Linked DNA regions of Ovis aries. The protein of the gene in region 1 interacts with the protein of each later gene in a pairwise test. Links are inferred from orthologs where the notes say so. Each region holds a gene or a part of one and is shown on either strand. Other genes may lie near its edges. The genes, in order: RINT1, FAM110A, C5H19orf25, FAM81B, EPC1, SFR1 and RIBC1.

Region 1 (4,217 bases):
ATGTAAGTGATATAGGATATTTGTCTTTTCCTGTCTGACTTATTTCACTCAGTGCTTATTTTATACGTAATAGTTTGTACCTCTAGATACCCTACCCCTATATTGCCTGTCCACACTTACCTCTCCTCATGGGTAACCACTAGTTTGTTCTCTGTATCTGTGAGTCTGCTTCTCAAAAATAAAGTTTTAAAGAAACAGCAATGAAGGGCAAGAGGTTATAACAGCCTCATTAGAAAACAACAGCCACTTCTGACAAAATGAAAGAATATCTAAATAAAGATATGCTTAAGTGTAAAATGTAACTATCAGCAATTAACATAATATATACCAGTGTTTAACGCTGTGTATATTCCCCTCCCCAGCCCATAAATTTTTTTTTCTCCTTTGTTCTATTCAATTTATAAGAATTAAATGCTTTTTCCCATGCTATGAGAACCAGTAGCCCACTGGTAGGTAGCAGCAAAACTAATAAAAGTCTATGCCTCAACTTCCCAACTATAAATTCTAACATTTGCCCTGCCTACATTTAAAAGGTTGTAAGTGGGACTCTTAACACAATATTCTTACCTTCTCCTTCAGGTATGATCAGAATTGGCTGGACTGCATCAAACTTTATTACTACAGGAATCCATATACTATTATGTACAGGAGTCTCAATGCCATGTCTTTTCATTTATCTTACATAAAACATGTAAGTTTGTGTGATGTATCTGCAGACACAGAGGCAGGACTATGGGCGGAGGGAATATTTTGTGAACTCTAAGCTTGCTGTAGCTTATAGAGTAAATTCTACCTTCACTTTTTACAAAAATATTATACTTTTTTGATTTAACCATTTAAATGCACCATAGTACATTCTTATTCAAATAACATCCTTTAAAATGACCCACTGGTAATTTTCGGGGGTGGGGAGGGAGGTGTTAATGTCTCTCCTCTATTTTTTGTAAAGCACACTTTTAATTGCAGAGAAATTGACCAAGCCACCAAAGGAGAGACAAAGATAAAATCTACAGCTCAGTGGCATCAACTTCCCAAGCATATGAATGGGGGAAAGGTGGAAAGGGAAGGGTTTAACTGAATGGTATGAGATCCTCTCAAATCCTTTGCCTTTAGGTAAAAGGAGCTGAGTTGTGGCAGCTGTGACTGCCAAGTACTATGAAGTGCTCATAGCTTGCTTTCTGAGACAGACTGTAGCAACAGGCAATGTTAAGGGTAAGTCTAAGTCCTAATGCCAATATGGTAACATGGGCACCCTGTCTGTTACCACTACTCATTCCCAGACTATTTGCCATGGTCAGAAGAACCAAAAACTCTTTGATGGAACAGCTGTTCCATGCTTCCCCCTTCCTCTACCCATAAATTTCACTTCAAAAGCCCTTGATGATTTCCCAAAAGCTTGCCACATTTAGCTCATTAAAGTAAAATGCCAAATGTTCACAGCCCTGGCATGTGCCCCTGCAGGTAGTAAACATTGACCTTTTCCCTTTCCTTGCCCAGTTCAAGATCCAGGAACCAGGTGATCTGTTGTGCTCTTCCCAGATCAATGTTAACTGCAAATTCACTGAAGGTAAAGTACAACTAAACAATTATTATTTGACTCCTTTAAATGCAACTATGATGATGGTCATCTCTCCTAGATCATTAGCCCCTCCAAATTCCTGATGCTTAACAAGTTGATGCTTCATTAAAATAACAGGCAGGCCCCAATTATTCTGAACCCAGTGGAAGGGCAGCACTGGAGTGAAACCACACCAGTCCTTGCACTAGGTAGGGATCAGGAAGTGCTAGTCTCCAAATTACCCCACATTTTACACAATCTTGAAAGTCAAAAATATGTGCATGATGATTAGTATTTATTACTATGCAAGACTGAAGAAAAATGGAGAGGAAGGTGGCCCAGGATGAGATGGTTAGATAGCATCACCAACTCAATGGACATGAATCTGAACAAACTCAGGGAGATAGGAAGGATGGAGGATCCTGGCGTGCTGCAGTCCATGGGGTCAACAACTATGCAAGCAGGTTGTACAAAAAGGAAAAAACGATACTTTATCTAAAAGATTAACAGGCTAATAAGATCCTTCTGGATGCAGACCCGAGAACCGAGTTTTGGAGCGATGGCTGGGTGCAAAGTGCTAAGGTGTTTGGAATCTGCTTACTTTTCTCCTTGAGGTTCTTCTTTTGGTCACCATTTTCAGAGCAGCACTAGAAGGAGAACAGGTAAGACAAACACATCAAGACTGACGTGACAGGGGGAACTCACACAGGGCTCTCAGGGGGCATCCAGTGGAGGACAACTTCTCAACTTCCTGGGAGGCCAGAGTCTGGAGGTTCCCAAAGGGCCACGTCCCTGGTGCCACCACTGTCACATCCCCAGAGAGCTGGGGTTACCTTGCCTGGCCTCCAGGGACACCTCTCCAGAACGATCTAGGTCATATCACCAGGGATCGCCAGAGCTACCGCACTGGGGCCACCTCCCCCGGGAGGTCTGCCACCTTGCCAGAGCAGCAAGGGCCATCTCCCCGGGGTCACGGCAACCGCGTCCCCAGGCCGTCAACTCCACCTCACTGAGACACTCTCCCCTGGAGGTCTGTGCCACCTCACTGGGCCACCAGTGTCCCCTCCCCGGGTCACCAGGGCCACCTAACCGGAGTGACGGGTGCCTCGCCGCTCTCGCCGGCCAGGAGCATCCTGCTTCCGCGCGAGTCGTCTGCTCCTTGCGCAGCCAGCGTGGCCAATGGACTCTGGCTCCCGCCAGCGATCAGAGATGAGCCTCGGAGACCGTAGCGCCGGACGCCACGGCAACTTCCTGCACCGTCTCTCTGGTTTCTTCCTTTCCTACCAGAGAGGCTCTGCCCGTGCAGCTGCCGGCCGTGTGCAGAGGCTCCCCCTGCCGTCCGGGGGTCGGATCAACCCCTCTGGAAGGAGAAGCGGGGGAGAGGAGGGGCGGGGACGAGGTCTTTCTCAACCTTGGTAAAATCTTCTCCACTGCATTGAGGTCATTAATGATGGAGCTTGAAGGTACCCCTCCCTCCACATAAATTCCACTTAAGTCATTTCAACTTATATTTCCGATGATATACCAGATGTTCTGAGAGTGTGAGGGGGCTTGTCGACTGGCTTTAATGTAATTTGGTTGGACTGTTTTAGCTGCGGAATCTCCAATGTCTTTTATCTTTGGATCCTTCTTTTACCGCAAATCAGATACACCTAGAGGTGACCCTCCAACTTCCTACCTGGTGGGTGCAGATCACATTCCGATAGCTGAAAGGAGGAAAAGGACTCGGCATCTACTATATACTTCGCCCAGTGCAGAGACCAAAGAAGTCTGTTCTTTGCTAGGGAGGAGGACTAGGATTGCCATCAAGAGTTAAATAGCGAACCCAGGGATTTGACGACTTCAAAACAAACGTGCAAGTGCTACCGTGGAGACTGAAGCAAACAGGGGCAGGGGAAATAAGCAACCCTTAGAGAAAACAGAAAACATTCAACGAGGAGAAAACTTTATTTATATCCTGAGATGCGTGACCCCCATCGCAACCATAAAGCAGTAACAGTCTACTATTTTAAAAGGAGCATTTAGAGACAAAAAAATATAATAGTAGAAATGAAAATTTCAGTAAAATAGTTTTAAGATCAATGTTGGGAAATATCCTGGGCGGGGCGGGGGGGGTGCGGTTCGTGGGGGGCAGCGGTGGTGGTGGTGGGAAGCAAAAGGTCAAGTGAGTAAAAAATAGGAAAGAAAAAATAAATTAGAGGACCACTCCAGGGGGGTTAAAATCCAAAAAAATAAGAGTTCTAAAAGAAAAACAAAAACAAAACAGCGATTAGGGAAAGAGTAATCACCAGCAAAACAATTGAAGAAAATTTCTCCAAACCAAAGGTCAGGAGTTTCCAGATTGAACTAGGTCCCACTGAGAGCCAAGCACAATGGATACAACCTGACTCATCCCGTGGCTTGTCACTGTGAAACTGCAGAACGCTGAGGTCAAAAAGACAACCCTAGGCTTCCAGAGAGGAAAAAAAAAAGAGATCATTTAGAAAGGATCAAGAATCAGTATATCATTCAATTTCTCAGTGGTCACAAAGAAACCCAGAAGACATCAGAGCATGTCTGTCAAACTTCAAAAGAAAATTTATTTCACACTGAAATTCTGTACATAACTAGTAAACTACCAATCAAATATGGATAAAGAATAAAGGTGTGTTCAGACATT
Region 2 (3,940 bases), on another chromosome or scaffold:
TATGACATTGTGCACTTCCACCTCACCCCTCCCTTCCACCTGCTTCTCCTTTTCCTTAGCAGAAGTCCAGCCCAGACTTCGGTGGAGACAGAGAGGCCCTCTCCTGCCCCAGAGGGAGCCAGGAAGGCTCCAGGCAGCAGAAGACTCCAGGACAGCTGCCAGGGCCAGAGACACCCAGCTGGGCATCCTCCAGGCCCACGCCAGGCCCCACACTATTTCTGGAGTTTTCCCAGATGTTCGTGCCCTGGCCTGCCTGCAGTCAGCCTTGCCCAGGGCAACCTTGCACAAACCTCAGGAAGAGAAAGGTAAACAGGCCACAGAAGCGGTGTGGGTGCAGCTGCCTAAGGCAGCAATCTCCCGTTTGGCCCACCAACTGCACACCTCCACCAACTCAGTCCTCTGGGCCTCAGGTCTGCACCTGAGCTTGCCAAATGAGGACAAAGGGACTCGCAGTGCAGACTAAGAGAGATACTGCGCGCAAAGCCTTAGGGAAGGGCCTGGCACACAGGATGCGGAAGGTGGAGTTGGGACAGACCCACAACCAAGCCCACTTCCTGTCCCGGACTGCCCTCTGCCTGGGCCGAAGCGCACCATCATGGCTTCTTTTCTCGGCGCAGAGATGTCAAGAACCTTGTCCAAAGTCACAAGAAAGTTAATGACAGATCATAGACAGGGCAGTGGTCTCATGATTAGATAAACAATCTATAATACACACATATTTTTTCAACCAGGTGATACATGTGCATGGCTTAAGATTCATAAGCTGTAAAGGAAATTAAAAAAAGAAAAACACCTCCCTCCACTCCTATCCCCAGCCACCCAGTTCCCCTCCCTGCAAGAATCATTATGATCAGATGGTTATATGTCCTTCCAGGGAGATTTCAGGCACATACAAGCAACAATGGACATATATTCTATTTTTTTTACACATAGCAACATGTTCTGTGCATTGTTTTCATTTATTCTTTCATTGAATAATATATGTTCTTAATATGTTATTAGCATGTTATTAATTATAATGTTATTAACAAAATAATATATGTTGTACTACATAAAGAGCCCATCAGTCCCTACCAATGGCCACTGAGCGTGTGTCTAGTCTCTATTAAAAACCACACTGTGGGACTTCCCTGGTGGGCCAGTGGTTAAGAATCTGCCTGCCAATGCAGGGGACATGGCTTCTACCCCTGGTAGAAGATCCCACGTGCCATGGAGCAACTAGGCCACAACAAAAGAAGCCTCCAAGTTCTAGAGCCCATGATCCACAGCAAGAAAAGCCACCACAATGATAAGCCTGCAACTAGAGAAAGCCCAGGCAGCAACGAACACCCAGCCCAGCCAAAAATAAACAAATAAATAAAAGAGTTCTCAGGCAGAGCCTTAAAAAACCCAAAAACCCCACACTGTGGGCTCACTGCACCTATATCATTCTGCCCAGAAGTGGGACAGCTAGGTCAGGGGGTGCATGTGTAATTGTGACAGAGATGAGGGACTGTGATCCAGGGAGTTGATCTCCCACCAGCAGAACACACAAAAATGATCAATAAATGTTAGCATTAGTCATTTTGATTCCTAGGGCTTTGGGCACCCCTCAGTTTCACACTGGAGGCGATTACCTCATTTACCTCACCCTAACCCTTCCCTGCAACACATTCCAGTCCGGGAAGATAATAAACTCGCTAATAAGTGAAATTATAGGACATTGGATGGGGTAAATGCTACTGAGAAAAACAAAATAGACAAGGCAGAGCATATGAAGTGAGTAAATATTTGTTGAAAGAATGAAGACTTGTTTTCTTTCTGAATTTCCAGAGCTCTGCTCCCTTTAAAGCCAGGAGACTGGTTTGGAGGAGAGAGGATAAATAATTCCCCTTGAAGAGATTCTAGACTCCCAGATGCTACAATTCTGAGTGTCTAGGATTCTAAGATGGAAGCCAGACAGATTGGGAACCAGCCCCAGAGTTGCCAAGTCTGACCATGTGGTTTTGGGCAAAGGGGCTTAACTTTTTAGAACCTCAGTTTGCCCACCTACGAAAGGAAACCCATAGCAACCAGCAGGTGGGGAGGGGGTTCCCCAGGAGGTAAGGCCTGGTGTAGGTCAGATGCTCTACCAGGAGCGGTCCTGGGCCCAGGACCAAGTCCAGTGTCTCTGGTGACTAGCGTCTTTGGCTGAGGGCTGTGCCTACCCTTTTGCCCAACCCGCAGTAGATTCCCAAGAGTCCTACAGCAATTCCAGGGCCAAAGCATCTGCTCCCCACCTGGCACCTAGCTCAGAAATGTCAGTCCTGCCTGAGCCACCCGTATCTTCTCTCTGAGAGGGAGAGCTCTGTAATTCAGAGCCCTGCAAGCTGAAGGATCTCAAGTGAGCCCCAAGTCCACCCCTGGCTTTCTGGAGAAATGAAGACAGATGGTGGGGAGAAGACCCCAGGCCGACGCTGGGGAGAGGCAGCCTGGAGCGGATGCAGCCAGGGCTCTCATGCTCCTGTTGATCAGAGGCTAAGAAAGCGACCACCAGTTACCTGTCAGGGTCTCTCAAGGCAAATCTAGAACTATTATGCTAGAGACTGCGAGATGGAGCAGAAAGATCTGAATCAGATTCTCTGCCAGACTTCGTCTTTCTGAGCCTCAGCGTTCTCATCTGTGAAATGGGGTACCCTCGTAGGACTCGGAGAGAACACGCACCGCAGGGGTGAATACAGCGCCCCCTTACACCCGGGTTCGCGCCCCGGACCACCCGTGCCCTCACAAGGAGCCTCGCCTAGGCGAGTCCCGCTCCTCCAGTGTGGGTCTTGAGGAGGCTGACAGCTCGGACCCAGTCAGGCGGGGAATGGCCGCACCCAACACGGCTCGGGAGGCCCAAGCCCCACGTGAGGACCCGCGGGGGCCTCTTCGGAGCTGTGCTCCGCACCCGAGATAAGCCGGAGAACCTGACTGTCCCAAGGTCCCAGACAGAGCGAAGGTCTGGGGGCACAGAGGGGAAGCGAAAACCCCGGGGCACCGGGGGAAGGGGAAATGAGCGCGTCGCTTCACCCCCCTCCCCGACACCAGAATGGTTTGCCCCGGACATCCTGATTGGTTTCTCGCTTCCGTTCGAACTCCGCGCCGCCCGCATTGCCAGGCAACGGCTTAGCTTCGGCCTGGCGTGGGAGCGCCCTGCCTTCTCAGTCCCTCCCCGCCCTTCAGCTTCCCGGTGGTCTCAGGTTCTTTGAGCAGCCCCTTTAGCTCAAGCGGCTAATTCTTTCTCTTGTTCACCCGGGACTTAGCTGATGGACGGAGGACCCTGGTGGGCCCAAGGGGTCGCTAAGAGTCGGACACGACTGAGCGACTTCACTTTCACTTTTCACTTTCATGCATTGGAGAAGGAAATGGCAACCCACTCCAGCGTTCTTGCCTGGAGAATCCCAGGGACGGGGGAGCCTGATGGGCCGCCGTCTCTGGGGTCGCACAGAGTCGGACACGACTGAAGCGACTTAGCAGCAGCAGCAGCAGTCCTGACTTCAGCTGACAGGCTATGTGAACCAGTGCAAGCCAGTTTTCCTGTCTGTTCCTCTAACTGCTCAATGCTGAGCAAGTTAGTGTGAAGATGGGCATGCCCAGCAGTCCCGAAATTTACTAAGGATGTGAGCGAAGATTAATATGCCCTGCGTTCTTTATCATGGCAAAATAATGAAAATAACTTAAGTGCTCAGTGAAAGGAAATTGGTTATATAAATCCATCCTGCGGAAGAACTGAATTTATTGAGGTTTTTATATATACCAGAAGCTTTGCATGACAAAACTCTCATCACTGCTCATGGCATAACCCTCTGATAAGTACCTTTAAATATCCTCACTTTTTGCTGAGGAATATTATACAGTCATTAAAAATGATATGATTAAAATATATTTAGCACTAAGAAAGATTGAATTTTTCAAAAGTATGTTTCAAAGCACTATGTAC
Region 3 (4,270 bases), on another chromosome or scaffold:
GTTAACCTATACTGTTGAAGACTGGCTTGGAGGATGCTTTGTTAGGCAGTCAGAGAAGCCAGCATTGGACCGGACACCCACCCTTTGTGCTTCTAGGCTCTGCGCAAGGAGGCTGATGTTGCTTCCTTCCTCATTATTTAACTTATATGCAGAGTACATCATGAGAAACGCCGGGCTGGAAGAAGCACAAGCTGGAATCAAGATTGCCGGGAGAAATATCAATAACCTCAGATATGCAGATGACATCACCCTTATATAGCAGAAAGTGAAGAGGAACTAAAAAGCCTCTTGATGAAAGAGGAGAGTGAAAAAATTGGCTTCAAGCTCAACATTCAGAAAACGAAGATCATGGCATCTGGTCCCATCACTTCATGGGAAATAGATGGAGAAACAGTGGAAACAGTGTCAGACTTTATCTTTTTGGGCTCCAAAATCACTGCAGATGGTGACTGCAGCCATGAAATTAAAAGACGCTTACTCCTTGGAAGGAAAGGTATGACCAACCTAAACAGCATATTAAAAAGCAGAGACATTACTTTGCCAACAAAGGTCCATCTAGTCAAGGCTATGGTTTTTCCAGTGGTCATGTATGGATGTGAGAGTTGGACTGTGAGGGAAGTTGGACTGAGTGCCGAAGAACTGATGCTTTTGAACTGTGGTGTTGGAGAAGACTCTTGAGAGTTCCTTGGACTGCAAGGAGATCCAACCAGTCCATTCTAAAAGAGATCAGGCCTGGGTGTTCTCTGGAAGGACTGATGCTAAAGCTAAAACTCCAATACTTTGGCCACCTCATGTGAAGAATTGACTCATTGGAAAAGACTGATGCTGGGAGGGATTGAGGGCAGGAGGAGAAGGGGACGACAGAGGATGAGATGGCTGGATGGCATCACTGACTTGATGGACATGAGTTTGGGTGAACTCCGGGAGTTGGTGATGGACAGGGAGGCCTGGCGTGCTGCTATTCATGGGGTCGCAAAGATTCGGACACCACTGAGCGAGTGAACTGAACTGAACCCCACTTCAACTCGCTCAGTCTTGTCCAACTCTTTGCGACCTAATGGACTATGCAGTCCATGGAATTCTTCAGGCCAGAATACTGGAGTGGGTAGCCTTTCCCTTCGCCAGGGGATCTTCCCAATCCAGGGATGGAACCCAGGTTTCCTGCATTGCAGGCGTATTCTTTACCAGCTGAGCCACAATGGAAGCACAAGAATACTGGAGTGGGTAGCCTATTCCTTCTCCAGGGTATCTTCCCGACCCAGGAATCGAACTGCGGTCTCCTACATTACTGGTGGATTCTTCACCAGCTGAGCTATCACGGAAGCTCCAGCCATTCTGCTCCAGTGTACTGAAACTCTCTCGGGCGTGGCCCCTTTACAGAGGGGTTGGCTTCGCGGTGGGCGGGAACCCGAGGAGGCCGGAAGTGCGCTTCACGTGCCTATAGGGCGGGCCCGCAGGCCGACCGGAAGCGGAAGTGGCCTCTCGGCAGCTGTGGCGGCTGAGTACCCGCTGCCAGGTGGAGCTTCTGCTGGAAACTTGTCTTGAGTGGAGCCGGACACTGAAGCCCCAGACCGCGTGCTGTTCTGCCTTGGGAGGAACGAGGCAGGGCCGGCTTCGCCGGGAGCGGGACTCCGGAGCAGGGCGCCAGGAACTGCGCGGTCAACGCTCTTTTCTCCAGCCTGCAGGGATGGGCTCCAAGGCCAAGAAGCGCGTGGTGCTGCCCACCCGCCCGGCGCCCCCCACGGTAGAGCAGATCCTGGAGGACGTGCGGGGGGCTCCCGCCGAGGACCCCGTGTTCACCGCACTGGCCCGGGAAGGTAGGGGGAGCCCAGGCCATGCAGGGGAAGGGCGGTCCCGAGACCCCAGCGAGAAGGGAAGCACCTGGCTGCTTTTGAGACGCACTAGCAGAGTTAAATGGTCAGGACAGAGACTGTCTGGCCCTACAGTGCCCAAAATACTTAGGTCTGGCCTTTTGCAGAGAAAGGGTGTCCACCCCTTGTTCAGAAGATAAACGGAGAACATTGATTGCAGGGGCCGACATACAGTTGTAGTCTGAATACTGTGTTCTCTATGAGGTTCGTTTATTCGTTCAGCCTTATTGAGAACCTCTTATGGGCCAGGTTCTATTCTAATCACTGAGGTGGTGAGGTGAGACCTGAACGTTGAAAGTCCCTGGGACTTCCCTGTCCGTCCAATGCTTAGGACTCTGCGATTCCACTTCAGGGGGCATGGGTTCAATCCCCGGTCGGGGAACTAAGATCCTACATACCACATGGTACAGCCAAGGCTCGGGGAGGTGGGGGGGATGAAAGTGCCTGTCCTCAGGCCATTCTAGTGGATAGAGAGGATTAGTATGAGGCTTGTGGGATGTCAGAAGGTGAGAAACACGTTGGGATTTTTTCGGGGGGTTCGTCTTTGTGACTTTTTTTTTTTTAATTAAAGTATAGTTGGTTTACAGTGTTAATTTCTGTTTCATAGTAGAGTTACACATACTCATTCTTTTCCATTATAGTTTATCACAGGATATTGAAAATCCTGCACTATACAGCAGGACCTTGTTGTTAATCCATTCTGTACGTAATAGTTTGCATATGGTTATCCAAAACTCCCATTCTTTCCACCATCCCCCATGCCCTCTGTGTGTGTTGTTCAGCCGCTCAGTCGTGTCCAACTCTTTGTGACCTCATCGACTGCAGCACGCCAGGCTTCCCTATCCTTCACCATCTCCCGGAGTTTGCTTAAACTCATGTCCGTTGAGTTGGTAATGCCATCCAACCATCTGATCCTCTGTTGCTCCTTTCTCCTCTTGCTCGAAATCTTTCCCAGCATCAGAGTCTTTTCCAGTGAGTCAGCTCTTTACATCAGGTGGCCAAAGTGTTGGAGGTTCAGCATCAGTCCTTCCAGTGAATATTCAGGATTGATTTTCTTGCTGTCCCTCCCCCTTGGCAACCACAAGTCTTTTCCTAGGTCTGAGTCTGTTTCTGTTTCATAGATAAGTTCATTTGCATTATATTTAGATTCCGCATATAAGTGATATCATACAGTATTTGTCTTTTTCTGACTTACTTCATTTAGTATGGTAATCGCTAGTTGGATCCATGTTGCTGCAAGTGACAATATTGTGCTTTTTCACTGCTGAGTAGTAATCCATTGTGTATATATACACCATATCCTTTTTTTTTTCTTACCGTACCCTTTTTATTCCTCTATCCATTTATCTGTCAGTGGACGTTTAGCTTGCCTCCATGTCTTGGCTGTTGTAACTAGTGCTGCTGTGAACATTGGGGTGCATGTTTTTTTTGAATTGTGGTTTCATCTGAATATATTTGCACAGGAGTGGGATTGCTGAATCATATGGTACCTCTGTTTTTAGTTTTTTGAGGAACTTCTGTGCTGTTTTCACAGTGGCTGCAGTAGCTTATATTCCCACCAACAGTGTAGGAGTGTTTACTGTTCTCTACACCCTCTCCAGCATTTGTTTATTTGTAGAGGTTTTTTTTTTTTTTTAATATTTATTTTATTTGGCTGTGCCAGGTCTTTGTTGTGTCATGTGAACTCTTAGTTGCAGCATGTGGGATCTAGTTCCCTGACCAGGGTTTGAACCTTGGCCCCGTGCATTAGGAGCATGGCGTCTTAGCCAGTGGACTACCAGGGAAGTCCTTATTTGTACAGTTTTTAATGATGGCCATACTGACCTGTAGGAGGTGGTACCTCATTGTAGTTTTGACTTGCCTTTCTCTGATAATGAGTGATGCTGAGCATTTTTTCATGTGATTCTTGACCATCTGTATGTCTTCTTTGGAGAAATGTCTATGTAGGTCTTCAGCCCATTTTTCAACTGGGTTGTTTTGTTTGTTGATATTGAGTTGAATGAGCTGTTTGTATATTTTGGAAGTCAAGCCTTGGTCAGTCACATCATTTGCAATTATTTTCTCCCAGTCTATAGGCTGTTGGTTTCCTTTGCTGGGCAAAAGCCTGTGAGTTTGATTAGGTCCTATTTGTTTATTTTTGCTTCTATTTCTGTTGCCTTGGGAGACGGACCTAAGAAAGCATAGGTAAGATCCATGTCACAGAATGTTATACCTGTGGTCTCCTCTAGGAGTTTTATGGTGTCATGTCTTATATTTAAGCCTTTAAGCCATTCTGGGTTTTTTTGTGTAGGGTATGAGAGAGTGTTCTAACGTCATTGACTTACATGTGGCTGTGGGACAATTTGTTTTTAAATTAAGTAACAGTAAAAATTCTGTTCTTTGCTGCACATGGCCACATT
Region 4 (4,163 bases), on another chromosome or scaffold:
ACCCCATGAATCGCAGCACGCCAGGCCTCCCTGTCCATCACCAACTCCCGGAGTTCACTCAGACTCACGTCCATTGAGTCAGTGATGCCATCCAGCCATCTCATCCTTGGTCGTCCCCTTCTCCTCCTGCCCCCAATCCCTCCCAGCATCAAAGTCTTTTCCAATGAGTCAACTCTTCGCATGAGGTGGCCAAATTACTGGAGTTTCAGCTTTAGCATTATTCCTTCCAAAGAAATCCCAGGGTTGGTCTCCTTCAGAATGGACTGGTTGGATCTCCTTGCAGTCCAAGGGACTCTGAAGAGTCTTCTCCAACACCACAGTTCAAAAGCATCCATTCTTCGGCGCTCAGCCTTCTTCAGTTTGTTTTCAAGGAGGCTAATATAGAACACCACCTGACAACAGGCTCTCCTGGCCAGCCGACTCAGTGGAAGGGACCAGAAAAAGCTTGAGGCTGTGCAGAGGGAGCCAGTGAGCCATTTAATTGTGCTTCAGACCCTCTCTGCCCAATGTTGAGTGGAGTTCACCATGAGTCTGGTGCTCCAAAGCCAGGTCTTTGCTAGAGAATGGGTTTATTATACTGATGCCCTGAGCACACAGATGTCTGTGGTATGGAAACCATCCCAGCTCCTTGGAGAACAGGATTGGTCTTCTGCCCTGGTTTGTGTTTTCACTCTGGATTCCGGCTGGAACAGTGCTGTGCCATGGGCTCCCCATCTGCTTAATGCCAGCTCTTTCCTTCTCACCCCTCCACAGCTGCAGCCCAGCCTGTGGGAGCTTGTCTGTGGGCTGGTCCCTGGCCTTGTATGTTCGGCACCTCCTACTCTTTTGTGAGCACTTGTGGAAAGAAAGAGTGCGATGCACATTGCGTCCAAGGACAATGACTAACTGGGCTATTGTCTTCGTTTCTTCTTTTGAAGTAAAGCAGTTGGATATATATCTGTTTTATCTATTTATTTTTTAAATCAGTTTTATTTCGCTCATTTTAAAGTTTTGCTTTGGAAGACAATAAGTAACATTCTCTTAAAAGCATACCTGCAAGTCACATACTTTTAAAGTAATAAATGTTAAACTTGACAATTCAGGGAAATTTGGAAAAATATAGAAAAAGTAAAAGATGCAGAAAAAAACAATCCTAGAGCAAAAGCTGTTAACATTGGGGCATAATCTATTTACTCTTTGTGCACTTTTTTAGGTATTTAAGACTAAGGTTTTATATTTTTGCTAATTGAATATAGGAGTCAGCTAACCCACTGGATTGAATTGAATATAGGAGTCAGCTATTCCTACAAACTAAGCATAATTATATCAAAATTGCCTCATAAACAACTGTGATTATCACAGGACATTTAGAAGTATTAGTTTTCATTTGTTTAGTAATAATGCTTTGCAATATAGAATGGACTATAAAATATGATCACATATATGATGTAATTTCATTCTTGAAACAGCTCTGTGAAGTGAGAATCATTAACTTACGGATAACAACAGTTACCTTAAGTAACTGAAATCCTTCTTTATTAGAGAAAGAATTTAAGATGATTATTTTTATAGGTGAGAAATCTGAGAATCAGAGAAGCAAGGAACTTACTCAGCATCATGCAGCTGGTGATAATGGTCAAGCTGAGTCCTTCCTACCTGCCTTTGCCTTAGAGGCTCATTCAAGCTCCACATCTTAGGATAGGCCTAATCAGCCCATTTCACATAAGAGGAGGCAGAGAGTTTTTAAGTAACTGGGTCATGCAGCCAATATGTTGTACAGCCAGTAGATACCAAAAGTCATTGCTTGCCATTATGCTAGCTTTCCGGTCCTCTTCCCATCACAAGAGGCTGTGTCCGCTAGTCAGAATTATAAAGCAAAGTCTGAAAACACTGCTTATTAGAGTGTTTTTTAAAAAATTAATGGGGAAGATATGACAAGTACATAACAATAAAAATTTTATTTAGTTATTTTCTTTTTTGTTAGAGATAACATCCACAATTTGAGTTCCTTTTAAATCTTCACAAAAATAAATAATGATCAAATTTCTAGCTCCCCATATTAAAAGTCAGTCCAGTGAATGAACTGACAAATCGAGATCATTTTTCTTTGCAGCTTGTGCTGGCCTCAGTCATTTTTTCAAAGCAGAACAAACAGGAAAGGTTAAGAGAGTGAAAAGGAAAGCAACTCTTCCTGGACTCCTGAGATCTCTCTAAGCAACATTAAGCTTTAAAGAAGCTGAACAAAATATCCTATTTTTCATATGAATATCTAAGAGTACTTGCTTTCTTTTCTTGCTCACTGGCTGAGCCAGGAAGGGGGCCATCAGGTTCTTCTGGCTGTTCCTTGGCAGCGGCAGTCGGGGAGGCACTTTTGTTTACATCCGTCTCTAGGCAACCAGAATGCTGAATCAGATCAGGAACTACTGCAAATGAAGTTTTTGCAGTAGTGGCAATTGTTTATTTTTCAATTGAGGGCAGTTTCTGAACATACAGTGAAATTAAAGGGAGGCTTCCCATTGTTTCACACGTCTTTCCCTCCTTCCTCTCCTCCCCAGTTCTCCCCCAGGTCCGCATCACACCTACAGAACAGCTTATCACCTCGGATACTGCCATGAGACAGTCAGGAAACTGCTAAGAGGCATTCATCTAGGTCAGACTGATAATAGGCAATGATTCCTCACCCCATTGTGCCGAAGCCTTCTGAGTACCTACTTCAGGATTTATTACCTTGTTTGTATGTAAAAAGAAATATAAGTAAGCTAGCCAAGAATGAGACATGTAGAGTCCTTGAGTAATCCATGAGGTAAATACCTGAACTCATGACGCTTGATTTCCTGACTTCATTTTTTTGGAACGGGAACAGAGGTTTTTATTTTCTCTCTCTGAAAGCCAAAGTACTAAGGAAATTTGATTGCATCCTGACCAAAGTCTTCATGTTTCTGGGGCATCTTGCTGGGTGGCCCAGCGGCATTGTGACTGCAGGGAGGAACTGTGATGTCGATGGGGTTGGGGGTCCCCACACTTTAGGTGCTGGATTTAGGGGCTTCAAGTGTTTTCCTTAATGCTCATTGTAGTAAAAATCGCTAGATCCTCCCCACCTCTTTGTCTCAATCAGTGGGAAGTGGTTATTTTTAGACCAATATTTCATACCCTTCTGCTCATTTCCCCTTCAAAGTTTGAGAAGAGACCAGTTTCCATCAGATTAAACAAAGAAATGAGATGCTGCCCTACTCCCGAATCTTTTTCCCCAAGTATGCTAGTTAAGGCAGCTAACTCTTCTTGGGCTCCAAAGTCATTGCCAATGGTGACTGCAACCATGAAATTAAAAGATGCTTGCTCCTTGGAAGAAAAGCTATGACCACCCTTGAAAGCATATTAAAAAGCAGAGACATTACTTTGCCAACAAAGGTCCATCTAGTCAAAGCTATGGTTTTTTCACTAGTCATGCACAGATGTGAAAGTTGGACTATAATGGAAGCTGAGCACCAAAGAATTAATGCTTTTGAACTGTGGTGTTGGAGAAGACTCTTGAGAGTCCCTTGGACTGCAAGGAGATCCAACCAGTCCATCCTAAAGGAGATCAATCCTGAATAGTCTTTGGAAGGACTGATGCTGAAGCTGAAACTCCAATACTTTGGCCACCCGATGGAAAGAACTGACTCATTGGAAAAGACCCTGATGCTGGGAAAGATCGAGGGCAGGAGGAGAAAGGGTCAGTTGAGGATGAGATGGTTGGATTGTGTCACCAACTCGATGGACATGAGTTTGAGTAAATTCCAGGAGTTGGTGATGAATAGGGAAGCCTGGGGTGCTGCAGTCCATGGGGTCGCAAAGAGTCGGTCATGACTGAGTGACTGAACTGAACTGAACTCCTCCAGGCCACTAGGTGGAGTATTACAAAGAATGCTACAGTGACAGGTGGGTGGGTAGACAGGCTTTGTTTGGTTGTTTGGCTTGTTTCAAAAAGATGTGGACTGTTTTAGCTCTGAGGTATTTTCCTGACTTTTAAAATTAGAATTTGCATATTTTGCTAATACCGCTTGGCCCTCATATACAGAAGTGATGTTACTGGCTGAGTCACTTTTCACATGATGGTGCTGGTTTGCCTTGCTCTGTGGGCATGCGTGACATTCAGAATACTAAGTGACAAATTTTGATCCCATAGATAAAAACATGCATGATTT
Region 5 (3,500 bases), on another chromosome or scaffold:
ATATAATATGAAATTACCAAAATAAACCTTTAAAATGTGGAAATGGTAAACCTCCAACACAAAGTGTTAAACAAGAAACATGCTAGTAAAACATTTTGGTGATTTGCAATGAATCACTGCATGAATAAATTCATATAATGAATGGGTGAGTAGGCAAAACTCCCTTCACCAAACTTACACACATACATACACAACCTAAGGCAGCCAAGGGACAGTAAGGTGACTACCCCTTTAGAACAGAGGAACAAAACATCAATCGCATCCTAACTCAGCCTAGAGATTAAGAGGCCCCTTGAATTTTTTAAATGATATTTTCCTCTCAGATGTCTAGAGACACAAATCTCAGCCTTCCGTTAAGTTCTATAAATGTGCTTAAATGGCCAATATTTATCATGCTTTAGGTTCAAAAGTGATTTCTTTTAAGAGTAAAAGAAGTTATTTTAGCATAATTTTTAATACATTTTAAGAAGAATTAAAAGTTCTCCAGATAATGAGCTGGGTGGGGCTGTAAGTTAAAGAGGTACATTCACAGACTACAAGATCAGGCTTGAGGACAGGGTCTCCATCTCATTTGCGCTTTTAGGTTTTACTTTTTTACAATAGGAAGCAGAGGGTGACAGCTTCTATACTCACCTGTAATGTTCTTTCTAAACCCTGTATAGAGTGGCTATGATGTAGATTCAGGCGAAAGCCACTTTTCTGCTGGTTAGATGCAAGGCTCTATGACAACAGTTGGTAATTAGAGATGAACTCTGGTGGGAAACATGAGGGATAATCATAAGACAGACAAATCCCTCACCTGTGGCATGGTGGTGGCGGAATTACTACTTGCTTGCTGTTGCTGAATTTGTGCAAGCTGCTGTTTCTGCATGAGTGCCAGCTGCTGTTGATGTTGCTGGTATTGTTCGGCTGTAAATGCTGAACATAAAACGAGAGAACACTTTATAGAAACGCACAGCTATCACATGCAACTTACAATATACGAAAACACATTTAAGCATTTAAAAAAATTTGCGCAAAATGAAAGCATTTGAGCATCCTGTTAAAGATCACTTCTGAATGAGAATTTCAGCATTTTTTATAACCACGCTTGACAAGAGTGGCTTGAGTTTAAAGAGAAATAAAGTGAAACTTTGAGTTGCACATACCAAAGAGAAGTGCTCACTTCCCAAGCTTTGAAACCATTATTTTTTTGGTAAGCTGTGACACTTGTGCCAGACAGTGTAAAAGGTAATACCAGCTTTTTTCAACCGCATGTTGGAAATTCAGCTTTGCACTGAGCTTAAGAAGAGATACAATAATTACCATCTGGTGTCTTTATTTATTCATACTACTGTCCTAATCCATTCAGATGATCTCCAGCAGTTCTGTGCAGAAATACTAGCTGTTCTACATAGTTCTGAATTTTAGTCATTACAAATATTTCCTCCATATGAAATATAAGGTTGTTGGTTTATTACCTTTTTTTTTTTTTTTTAAAAAAAGAACCCATCCTTTAAGTTTAACAGGAAGAAAAGAGGCTCCAAAGGTTAATTAATTTTCCCCACCCAATTAACCCACCTGGAAAAAATCCAGTCAATAAGAACGGAGTTGTTTATGTTGGCTTACTGTACAGAATGATGTCTGAGGAAAGACACTGTGTTATGCTACTTATGTTTGTCTATGGAGAGCTCAGTTCTAAAAAAAACAAACAAAAAAATGTTCATTTATTACCCCCCCAAAAAGTGTGTGCAGTTTTTAAAAAGGAAAACCTTTTTCTTTTTTTTTTTTGCCAATTAAAAAAAAAAAAAGAAAAAAACGTACATACAATCACAACATCTGACTTTAAGGCTTCTTTAAGAAGCCTGTGGTGTTTGGGTAAGAATTATTTCAGAACAGAAAAAAAAGGGTTAGCATGCATCCTCAGTCACTAGGGAATCTATAAACCATGCATATTCCCTCAATCTAAGGTTTAATGTCTTCAAAATACTGTCAACTAATTTGTCATCTTTAAAGATGTTTTGATAATTTATTTAGAATATTACATCATCAAGTTTTGCAATTTTCCCTTATAACTCATGAGAATCTTTATCTTCTGGGGCAGAGTTTCTGCCTAGGACAACTAGAAAATACTTAGCTAGAAGTTAGGTAGAAATTCTACCATATTTTAAACAAGTCAGAAAACTGTGACATAATATTTCAGAAAACCTCTGAAGTTGCAGTACTTACACAGACTTTCATACTTGAGCTGAACTAATTTCCTGGGTTACAAAGGCAAAAAATCATTTGTTGGAAAAACTCTACCATTTATTTTCCTATTTTTGGTGTTACACATCTGTTTAGTTGATATATGTCCTGTGATGAGATTCTTCTTGTTATTTAGTCAGTCATGCTCGATTCTTTTGCGACCCCATGGACTGTGTCCCCAGGCTCCTGTGTCCACAGGATTTCCCAGGCAAGAATACTGGAATGGGTTGCCATTTCCTTCTTCAGGGGATCTTCCTGGCCCAGAGACTGAACCCATTATCGCCTGATTGGCAGGTGGATTCTTCACAACTGAGCCACCAGGGAAGCCCTGTTTTTTTCCTACTATGTTGGTAATCCTCAGCTCTGAACTCTGCAGGAAAAATTCTTTTTTATTGATAAATACATTTTTTTATTGCTAAAAGGATAATCCATAAATAGTTTCATAAAAGCAAGTTTCTGTCAAAATGACCATTTCCATATAACAGAAATAAGTTAAATCAGAACTTAAAAAAAATTTTTTTTAAATAAGGCTGTCTTGAAACAGATTACAATTAACATAATATTTATCTTTATGCTTAAAAAATTTCATAAAAAGAAACTGCTTAATGCCAAAAAGACAATTTAAGTATTGCTAATATGTTTTTGCATCATCTACTTTAATTTCCTAAGCTTGAGTGAGTTGCCTAAATCTTGAATTTCCTGGTAGGAGATGCTTAATAAACTTGAAAAAACAACAACAACAACAACAACAAAAAACCCCATTACTGGAAGGTTACATCATTACACACCTAAAAAACAATAATTTAGCATTCACTAGAATAGATCTGTGTTCAGAACTCCATTTATATGAATGAAAATATTCTTTTGCAGAACTTTGCTGGTGTTTGTGACTTAAAATTAGCAATATTAAGTTATAAATCGATTTCAATAAAGGTTCCAAATATTTTACCCTATTTAAGTCAACATTTCAGTCCTCAGTCTCTGAGGGTTTTGTGAATTTCATTTTTTAAACAACTGTTAACTTCCTAATGCAGATCTAGAAATTAAAAAAAAAAATGCGACCAACACTTTAGATCACTAACACTCACTGTGATTTTAGATCCCTATGTTAGCCTATTTCTTACATATCTCTAAACTCCAGAGTCTAGTTATAAAAATTTCCCTGGACATTTCTGATAAATGTTCTAGAAGAAATGCACAGTATCATATACACCAGAAGTGATGGTAGTAAAAAACATGGGTCTAGGGGCCAAGAGATACTGATTTTCCTTTCA
Region 6 (4,056 bases), on another chromosome or scaffold:
CTAGGAGGACTGATATTATATCCCCTCTTTATGGATGAGGAAGCTGAGACACAGACACATTCCATTATAAACAACACAAAGGCGCTGGGATCTGAACCTAAGCAATTGGACTCCAACATTTATGTTCTTAATCACTGCATTAGGTGGTCTTCAAGTTCTGTAGATACATTCCACTGTTTAGCACTCAGTTATTCCGTCTGGGTCCTTGCTACTTGTAAGCCATTTATATCAGATATTAGTAAAAAGACAGTGTCAACGTTTAAAATGGCTATTCCTTAGAATTCAAAACACTGCCCCGCTAAAATTCCCAACTTCCACGTGACTCAGAAATTACTCAACTGTCTTTTCCCAAACTCAGTGCTCCACCCAATTAGTTCACTTTGTTGTTGCACAGCAACGGAACCTCGCTACACAGGAAACGAGGAGGGTTATTTTAGACCGAGGATGCCACTGCCCAGTATTCAGCCAGGGTTTGGACCAACCTAATCTTAGTCATTGTTCTGCTTCCTGTATTGCACCCCAACGACTTTCCTTGGGCTACATTTTCTTTCAGGTTTGACGAAAAGATTCGGAGCCAAGCTAAGAAACCTAAATTTTCAGACAGATTCGCCAAAAGAAGGAAGAGAAAAAAACAAAAACAAAAAACCACCCGTGGCGGGACCGCAGACTTTGAGGCAGCAGTCTAAAAGAAGCTCTACTGGTTCCGCTGGGGTTCTTAGATTTCTAATGTGTCTGACTGTCAACGGGCCATTGACCCATCTTTTTGTAGTCTTTGCCTTTGGAGTTTACAAGCTGTAAATATAACACACAGCAGGCCCGGAGTCTCTGGGTCCCGTGGAATCTGAGAAAAGGCCTTTGCTGTGGGGAGCGCGAAGAGACTGATGGGAGCTAGGAGAACAGGAGGGGCATTCTCAGGCGTCCTTTAGAAACACAAAACCCAGGAAGCTGCAAAGGAAGGCGGTATGAAAAAAGAGCGAGAAGAAGCCGCGAAGAAAAGCGCGCACCTCATGGGAACCGTTAGTTGCTTTAAAGCTCTTCCCAGCAAACGGCCGCGCGCGCAGTGCCGCGACTCTCGGGCGCTGGGCGGAGCAGAGCCGCGCGTATCGGTCAACTCGGCCAATCACGCGTCACGGCCCCTCCGTTTCGTCCTGCCCCCTTGCGGAATCTCGAGGCCGCGCGCGCGCAGTCCCGCCTCTCCGGGCGCTGGGCGGAGAGGACCTGTGTGTCAATCAATCTGGCCAATCGCGCGTCTCTTCCTCCTCCCGCGCGGCCCGGCCTCTGAAACGGCGCCGCGGCTAGCGCGCTCTTTGTGCTGTCTGGGGATGGCTGAGGGAGGTACCGTGCGGGGTGTGGGGTGGGTGTCTGACAGCTGAACTTCTTCGGGGTTCGGATGGGGAATTGAATAATGCTCCCTTTCCGCGGTCAAGGCACCTCTCAGCTCCACCTCAGGTTTTGGGTGTCTCGAGGGCTCGTGTGGGCCTTCTGTAGTGGCTGGAGGGGAGGGAGGGCTCCTCTGGTATTTTACCCTGTAAAGTTGATGGCCTTTGAGAAACTTAAGTCTCTCCTTTTCACGGTCTCTTCGCTATTTAATTGAAAACGATGCAGACAGGAGTAAACTTACCTGTGCTTGTGCTCCTTATTCCTCACCCCCGGGGGGCGTTAGTTTTAGGCACACAGCTTCTAGGATTTAGGGTAGTGTGACAGGTCTGATTATGTTTATTTAAGTGGGATAGTAGTGGGAAGTAGGAGAATGTGATCCATAATCAAGAGGAAGAGTAATCAATAGATAAAGGCATAAGATGAACTCAATTTAAACACCGAAAAGCACTTTAAAGAAGTTATAAATATATTTTTTTAATTTTAAAATATTGTCTTCTGTTGTGGCTCAGCTGGTAAAGAATCCGCCTGCAATACGGCAGACCTGGGTTCGATCCCTGGGTTGGGAAGATGCCCTGGAGAAGGGACCGGCTACCCACTCCAGTATTCTGGCCTGGAGAACGCCATGGACTGTATAGACCATGGGGTCGCAAAGAGTCGGACACGACTGAGCGATTTGCACTTAAAGCACTAAAGGATTTCAATTACATTTTCCTTCATTGTGAAACTGGCTTAATGAGATTAAAGAATTCCTGAATGTTATTCTCCTCCCCGCCTACCCCGCCCCACCACCATATGGCAGGTTTTGAGACTTTTATCAGTCAGTAAAAACAAATGGAGAGTTGTTTATATGAGATGCTAGCTGGGTAACTTGTCATGAAAAAACTAGTAGTCACCATAATGACCAACAATCTAATTTAGGGAAGTAAACAGAAAATTGCACGCAAAAAAGCAAGAATGAATCACAGCTAAGTGAAAGGAAGTTGTTTAAAATTGAATATATAGAGGTGTGGGCAAAGTTGATTTCTGTTTTGTCATTATTTTCTGTTTTTTAGAAGTAAAGCAAGATTTCAAGATGGAAAGTCCATCAAACTCGGCTTTGATGTTACCTAGCACTCCACAAGCTGGTGCCAATCCACCATCTCCCCATTCAAGTAGTTCAAGAAAACAAGTATGAAAATCTTAGTTCTTTCACTGGATGTATATTTCTAAGTATTGCAGTAATGGTGGTTTTAAGTCTACTGAACATTGTCAATAGTGTGTAGGTTAATAAATAAAATTTTTGTTAACATCATTTTAGGTGTTTCCTTTTAGAAAATGTATTGGACCTTCCTCTTAGATTTTCATCCTGACTCAATTATTTTCATTTATTTTCAGTTCAGGTTATTACAGCATTCCAAACAAAAAGTTTGATGTCATGGAGGTCTTTGGTGGAAAGATCTTTTTCCTTAATTTGTAACTAAGCACCTAACCATATCAGGCTTGGACTAATTGCTGAACAAATGTTTGTGATTACTGAGTAGAAGAGTGCTGGCTTAAAAAGAGAATAAAACTTAGTGGAGCTTCCAGAAATTGAAAGGTATTTTGTGATGGTTACTTTAGATATATGGAGACAGAAAGCCATCTAGTGGTGTCTGCCACAGAAATGTAGTCTTGATTCCTAGTAGATTTATTTATATCAAGAATGTTTTTCTTGATTGACATTAACGTTTGATGCCTTTTTCAGCCTATGAGTGCAACCCTTAGAGAACGATTAAGGAAAACCAGATCTTCATTTAATTCCTGTTACAGTGTGGTAAAACGGCTTAAAGTAGAGAGTGAGGAAAATGATCAGACTTTTTCACAGAAATCAGCACCTTCAACAGAAGAAAACTGTTTGGAATTTCACGAAAAATTTAAACACATAGATAGTGAATTTGAAGAAAGTACATATTTGAAAGATACCTTCAAGAATATCAATGTTTGTGAATCTAAATCACTTGATGCTGAGCCATCCAGTGATCTCCAAAATGACTTTATGAATGAGAATCTTGCCAAGCATGAACTAAACAAAGAAAAAGCAGAATTGATGAAGCAGATTCACGAGAAAGAAGATCTTCTTCGGAGGCTGAAGCTAGTCAAAATGTATAGATCAAAGGTGAGAAGAATTTCAGAGCCGTTGCCTAATAATTTTTTTGTTTGTTTGTTTTTAGATAAATGGTAGGAAAATATTTCAAAAAGAAAATACAACTTTATTTTACAATACTTAGAAATAAGCCAATTACCAAGAGACCTGGCTTCCAACAACTTTAACTCAAATATAAGTCATAGATTTAGAGAAGAGGCCTTAAACACCAAGTATACATTTTTGAAAGCCCCAGCCCACATTTAATATGCAGTTGAAGCTTTTCCCTCTAGTTTCCATCCCACAGCAGTATTAGAAGTTTCAAATGTTAGCTGCAAATTGCAATGAGAACAGAAGCAACAGTGACAGTGAAGAGAAAAAGGCTAAAAATGGGCCACAGAGTACAATAAAAAGTATTTTTAGTAATGATTTTGTGTAATTAAATTATTACCAACAAATTATTAAAATGTTTCATGCATTTTCTTTTAAGAAAACAACAAAAATATAATAAATTTTAGATCTCGATCCAGGTAGGTTGAAATGAATAGAATTTGGGCACTTGGAAGATGACCCTT
Region 7 (3,500 bases), on another chromosome or scaffold:
TAAGTGTCCCTCCCATCAGTTACCAGTTTCTTATGTAGCCTTCCAGAGAGTTTTGGCATATGCATGCAATACCAAATATTCTTTATAGACTTCTTTTGGCTCCATTTACTTGTCTCTTGAAAACCAGACCACTTGGCCTAGAGTTGACTGGAGAAGAGTCTGCTGTCACTGGCTCCTCTTCCCCTGCACCTCTAGGCCTCTTTCTCAGGCCCTCACCACATGCTGGGGTGGGTGCCTTTTTCCCTTCCTCCTTCCTTTATAACCCTGCAGTCTGCTCAAATCAGGGAGGGGCTGTGATGGGCACGGCTATGTTCCTCTCCTGGTGTAAGAGTGAGGTGACCCCTGGTCCAGAGAAAGTCCCCACTGCCCACTCACCCCCATGACTCTGGTCCGCACATTGAAGAATCGACTCTGTCGCTCCTTTTCTTGATTTCTAGCTTCGGTGGGTGCCACCTCCTTGGGATCTGGTGGCAGATCTACCTGATACATCTGGAGCAAGGGCGAGTTGGATGGCCAATTAGTGCTAACCATCATACTTGACTATACCCCCACCCCCCATTCCTTTCTCCCCACAGTATCTTACCAGCTATTGATTCCTACTGATTTTACTTCCTGACATATTTCATATCTGTGTTCTCCATCTCTGCTGTCGAAACCCTAATTGAGGCCTCACAAGCTGGTGGCCAGATAATGTTCCCAGGAACCTCACTGGGCTCCCTTGCTCCAGTGTTAGGCTCTCTACTGCTTTTCTGCCTTGGCTACCAAAGTGATTTTTCTGAAAGCAAATCTGACCATGGCACACCGCAGCTTAAAACCTTTGAAAGCATCTATAAAGCAAGGGGGCTTCCCAGGTGACTCGGTGGTAAAGAATCTGCCTGCCAGTGCAGGAGATGCAGGAGGGAAGATCCCCTGGAGGAGGAAATGGCAGCCCGAGCCAGTATTCTTGCCTGGAGAATCCAGTGGATGGTGGAGCCTGGTGGGCTACAATGAGCTGAACATGACTGAGCATGCACGCATGGCATAAACCAAATTGTTCCCCAATGTTTTGGTTTTATGAGTCTTCATGATCTGATTCCTGCTCACCTTTCCAAGTCTCAAACTGATTTACAACATCCCTTTTGCATTAGGCTCTATTTAGTTTTTTCTGTTTCAGTAAATGCCACCACCATTCCCCCTTTATTTTTATTACTTATGCTCTAGTCAAATTAAAGGCTTAAATTTGCCTGCATTCCTTTGTATTTTGGGAAGCCCAGCCAAAGCCACAGCCAAAATCTCTTGCTAACATAAATCTGATCATGTCTTACACCTGCTTAAAATCCTCCACTGGCTTCCTACCACACTTAGAATTAGATCCATACCCCTTTCTGTGGTTCAAGATCTGGTTCCTGCATACCTCTCCGGTTCATCTCATGCCTCCCTCTTCCTTGTTTACTGTTCTCCAGGTACGCTGGCTTCCTATTAAGTCCTCCAACACTACAACTGTTCCCACCTCAGGGCCTTTGTACATTGCATTCCTTTGTTTGGAATACCATACATCAACTCCTACAGCTAGTTCCAACCTCACTTGTTCACTGTCTAACCATTTTGTAACTAAAATATTTGATGCACACAGGGGAATTATATATAAGCCATATGTAACTTAGGAAAAGGAAGCATGATAAAAGAGACCCATGAACCAACTCCCTAGTTAAGAAATAGAACACGATTAATACTAGTTAAGTGTCTTATGTCTGTTCTTCTTCATCCTTACCCTAAGAATAACCACTATCCAAAATGTCACCATTCCCTTAATAATATGCACTAATATACCATATGTGTGTGTATGATTCCCTGAACATTTAAAAATATTTTGTCTTGAAACTTGATGGAGTATCACACAGTATGCATTCTTCTGCATCTTGTTTTTTTCACCCATGTTCATTTATCAATTAACAAATATTCATGAAGTGCCTACTGACAGACAATCCCTTAAGCGTTTGAGAGACATCAAGGAGCAAAAGTGACAAAAATCTGAGTCCTTGTGAAAGTTACTTTCTAGTGGGGACAGACAAGACTAGAGAGAGTACATTAAATAGTTTGTAAGAAGATGATTAGTGCTTTGGGAAAAAATATAGAGCAGGATAAGGGGAATTGGAAGTGCTAAAGAAACGGGGAGAGTGTTGCAATTTTAAATATGGAAGTCAGGGGAGGCATAACTGGGAAAGAAATAGTTGAAGAAGGTGAGGGAGTCTCCTATACAGATAACTAGGAGGAGAGCACTGCAGGCAGAGGGAACAAGTGCAGAGGCCTTAAGGTGGACAAAAGAGGCACACACACATTCAAGAGGACAGCAGGGAGGCAAGTGTGTGAATGAAAGAGGAGTGGGAAATAACATTAGATTGGGTGGGGAGATGCAGAGCATGTAGGACTTCACAGACCATTGTAAAGGCTGCAGCTTCTACTCAGAGAAATGGGCAGCCATTGGAGGATTTTGAGCAGTGGGAGTAATGTGTCCTGTCTTTGATTTGTAAAGGATTGCTCTGGCTGCTGTGTTAAGAATAGACTGGAGGGGATGGGAAGGGAGGCTAGAGGCAGGGAGACCAGACAGGAGGCTATTGCAGTTGTACAGGCAAGAGATGATGATCACGCCAGGTTAGTAGCAGCAGATGTAGGGAGAAGTGGTCAGATTCTGGATATATTTTGAAGGCAGAGCCAGCAGGACTTCCTGATGGATTGGGTGTGCTGTGAGGAAGCAGTGTTAAGAATGACTTCAAGGATTTGGGCTGGGGCAGTCAGATGCATTGCTATCAACTAAATAGTCTGTATGGAGAGAATAGAATAGGATGAGAATCTGGAGATCAGTTTTGGAGGTGTTGAGTTTGAGAGGTCCATACCCATTGATAGATACAGATAGTATGGAAAATTTTGTTATTTTTCAAAAAGATATGCTATTGGGAATTTCCTTGCTGTCCAGTGGTTAGAACTCTGCACTTCCACTTCAGGGGGCATAGGTTTGATCCCTGGTGGGGAACTAAGATCTCACAAAGCCCCCAAAAAATTTTCTTTGGTATCCGTCCTTACAGGATTCTATATTCTTATCATATTGCCCTCACGATTAGCCGCATAATCTGCTTTGCCCTCTGGAAAGTGAGAACTGACAGTGCCATTCCTAGGCAGAACTAAGAGCCATTAAGTGATAGCCATATTCTCTCTTTACTGCTGTGGGACCAGCAATGTCCCAGGTGAGGGCTGTCCCTTCAGTCTTGGTCCTGGAGTGAAGACAGAGCAGAGATGTAGCCAACCCACAATGGACAAGAAGTGGAGTGAGAAACCTGTCTTTATGAGCTGCTGAGACTTAGAAACATTTTTTAAGAGTTTATTTGGGCAGAAAACAAATTGGGTACTGCCAAACCAGAGTGGTTAAGAGTTTAAGGAAAGATGTTTAAAGAGATGGAAAACAAGGAAATTATTTGATTGGCTATAGCTGAAGTGCTTGTTTTATTTGAGAATGCCTAGTTGAC

Evidence for each region.
Region 2: the proteins of RINT1 (region 1) and FAM110A interact in binary tests that used the Homo sapiens proteins (3 or more experiments, as listed by UniProt). The two-hybrid records come from large-scale screens. The link is inferred for Ovis aries from reciprocal best matches to the Homo sapiens genes RINT1 and FAM110A.
Region 3: the proteins of RINT1 (region 1) and C5H19orf25 interact in binary tests that used the Homo sapiens proteins (3 or more experiments, as listed by UniProt). The link is inferred for Ovis aries from reciprocal best matches to the Homo sapiens genes RINT1 and C19orf25.
Region 4: the proteins of RINT1 (region 1) and FAM81B interact in binary tests that used the Homo sapiens proteins (3 or more experiments, as listed by UniProt). The two-hybrid records come from large-scale screens. The link is inferred for Ovis aries from reciprocal best matches to the Homo sapiens genes RINT1 and FAM81B.
Region 5: the proteins of RINT1 (region 1) and EPC1 interact in binary tests that used the Homo sapiens proteins (3 or more experiments, as listed by UniProt). The two-hybrid records come from large-scale screens. The link is inferred for Ovis aries from reciprocal best matches to the Homo sapiens genes RINT1 and EPC1.
Region 6: the proteins of RINT1 (region 1) and SFR1 interact in binary tests that used the Homo sapiens proteins (3 or more experiments, as listed by UniProt). The two-hybrid records come from large-scale screens. The link is inferred for Ovis aries from reciprocal best matches to the Homo sapiens genes RINT1 and SFR1.
Region 7: the proteins of RINT1 (region 1) and RIBC1 interact in binary tests that used the Homo sapiens proteins (3 or more experiments, as listed by UniProt). The two-hybrid records come from large-scale screens. The link is inferred for Ovis aries from reciprocal best matches to the Homo sapiens genes RINT1 and RIBC1.

Annotation. Positions count from the first base shown.
Region 1 is NC_056057.1:48,154,293-48,158,509, reverse strand, and holds the start of RINT1 (RAD50-interacting protein 1), read right to left. Parts: upstream 2,801-4,217; 5' UTR 2,691-2,800; coding exon of another isoform or gene 2,649-2,690; exon of another isoform or gene 2,264-2,648; intron 2,206-2,263; coding exon of another isoform or gene 2,160-2,205; intron 711-2,159; 5' UTR 674-710; coding exon 568-673; intron 1-567. UniProt on the Homo sapiens protein: Involved in regulation of membrane traffic between the Golgi and the endoplasmic reticulum (ER); the function is proposed to depend on its association in the NRZ complex which is believed to play a role in SNARE assembly at the ER.
Region 2 is NC_056066.1:59,933,525-59,937,464, forward strand, and holds the start of FAM110A (protein FAM110A), read right to left. Parts: upstream 2,801-3,940; 5' UTR 1-2,800.
Region 3 is NC_056058.1:41,554,046-41,558,315, reverse strand, and holds the start of C5H19orf25 (UPF0449 protein C19orf25 homolog), read left to right. Parts: upstream 1-1,470; 5' UTR 1,471-1,687; coding exon 1,688-1,817; intron 1,818-4,270.
Region 4 is NC_056058.1:92,331,285-92,335,447, reverse strand, and holds the start of FAM81B (protein FAM81B), read right to left. Parts: upstream 2,801-4,163; coding exon 2,791-2,800; intron 2,403-2,790; coding exon 2,263-2,402; intron 1-2,262.
Region 5 is NC_056066.1:32,590,651-32,594,150, reverse strand, and holds part of EPC1 (enhancer of polycomb homolog 1), read right to left. Parts: intron 1,678-3,500; coding exon of another isoform or gene 1,661-1,677; exon of another isoform or gene 1,561-1,660; intron 919-1,560; coding exon 800-918; intron 721-799; coding exon 634-720; intron 1-633. UniProt on the Homo sapiens protein: Component of the NuA4 histone acetyltransferase (HAT) complex, a multiprotein complex involved in transcriptional activation of select genes principally by acetylation of nucleosomal histones H4 and H2A.
Region 6 is NC_056075.1:24,378,832-24,382,887, forward strand, and holds the start of SFR1 (swi5-dependent recombination DNA repair protein 1 homolog), read left to right. Parts: upstream 1-1,256; 5' UTR 1,257-1,322; coding exon 1,323-1,335; exon of another isoform or gene 1,336-2,432; coding exon 2,433-2,548; exon of another isoform or gene 2,549-3,103; coding exon 3,104-3,514; exon of another isoform or gene 3,515-4,056. UniProt on the Homo sapiens protein: Component of the SWI5-SFR1 complex, a complex required for double-strand break repair via homologous recombination. Acts as a transcriptional modulator for ESR1.
Region 7 is NC_056080.1:51,298,218-51,301,717, reverse strand, and holds part of RIBC1 (RIB43A-like with coiled-coils protein 1), read right to left. Parts: intron 490-3,500; coding exon 376-489; intron 1-375.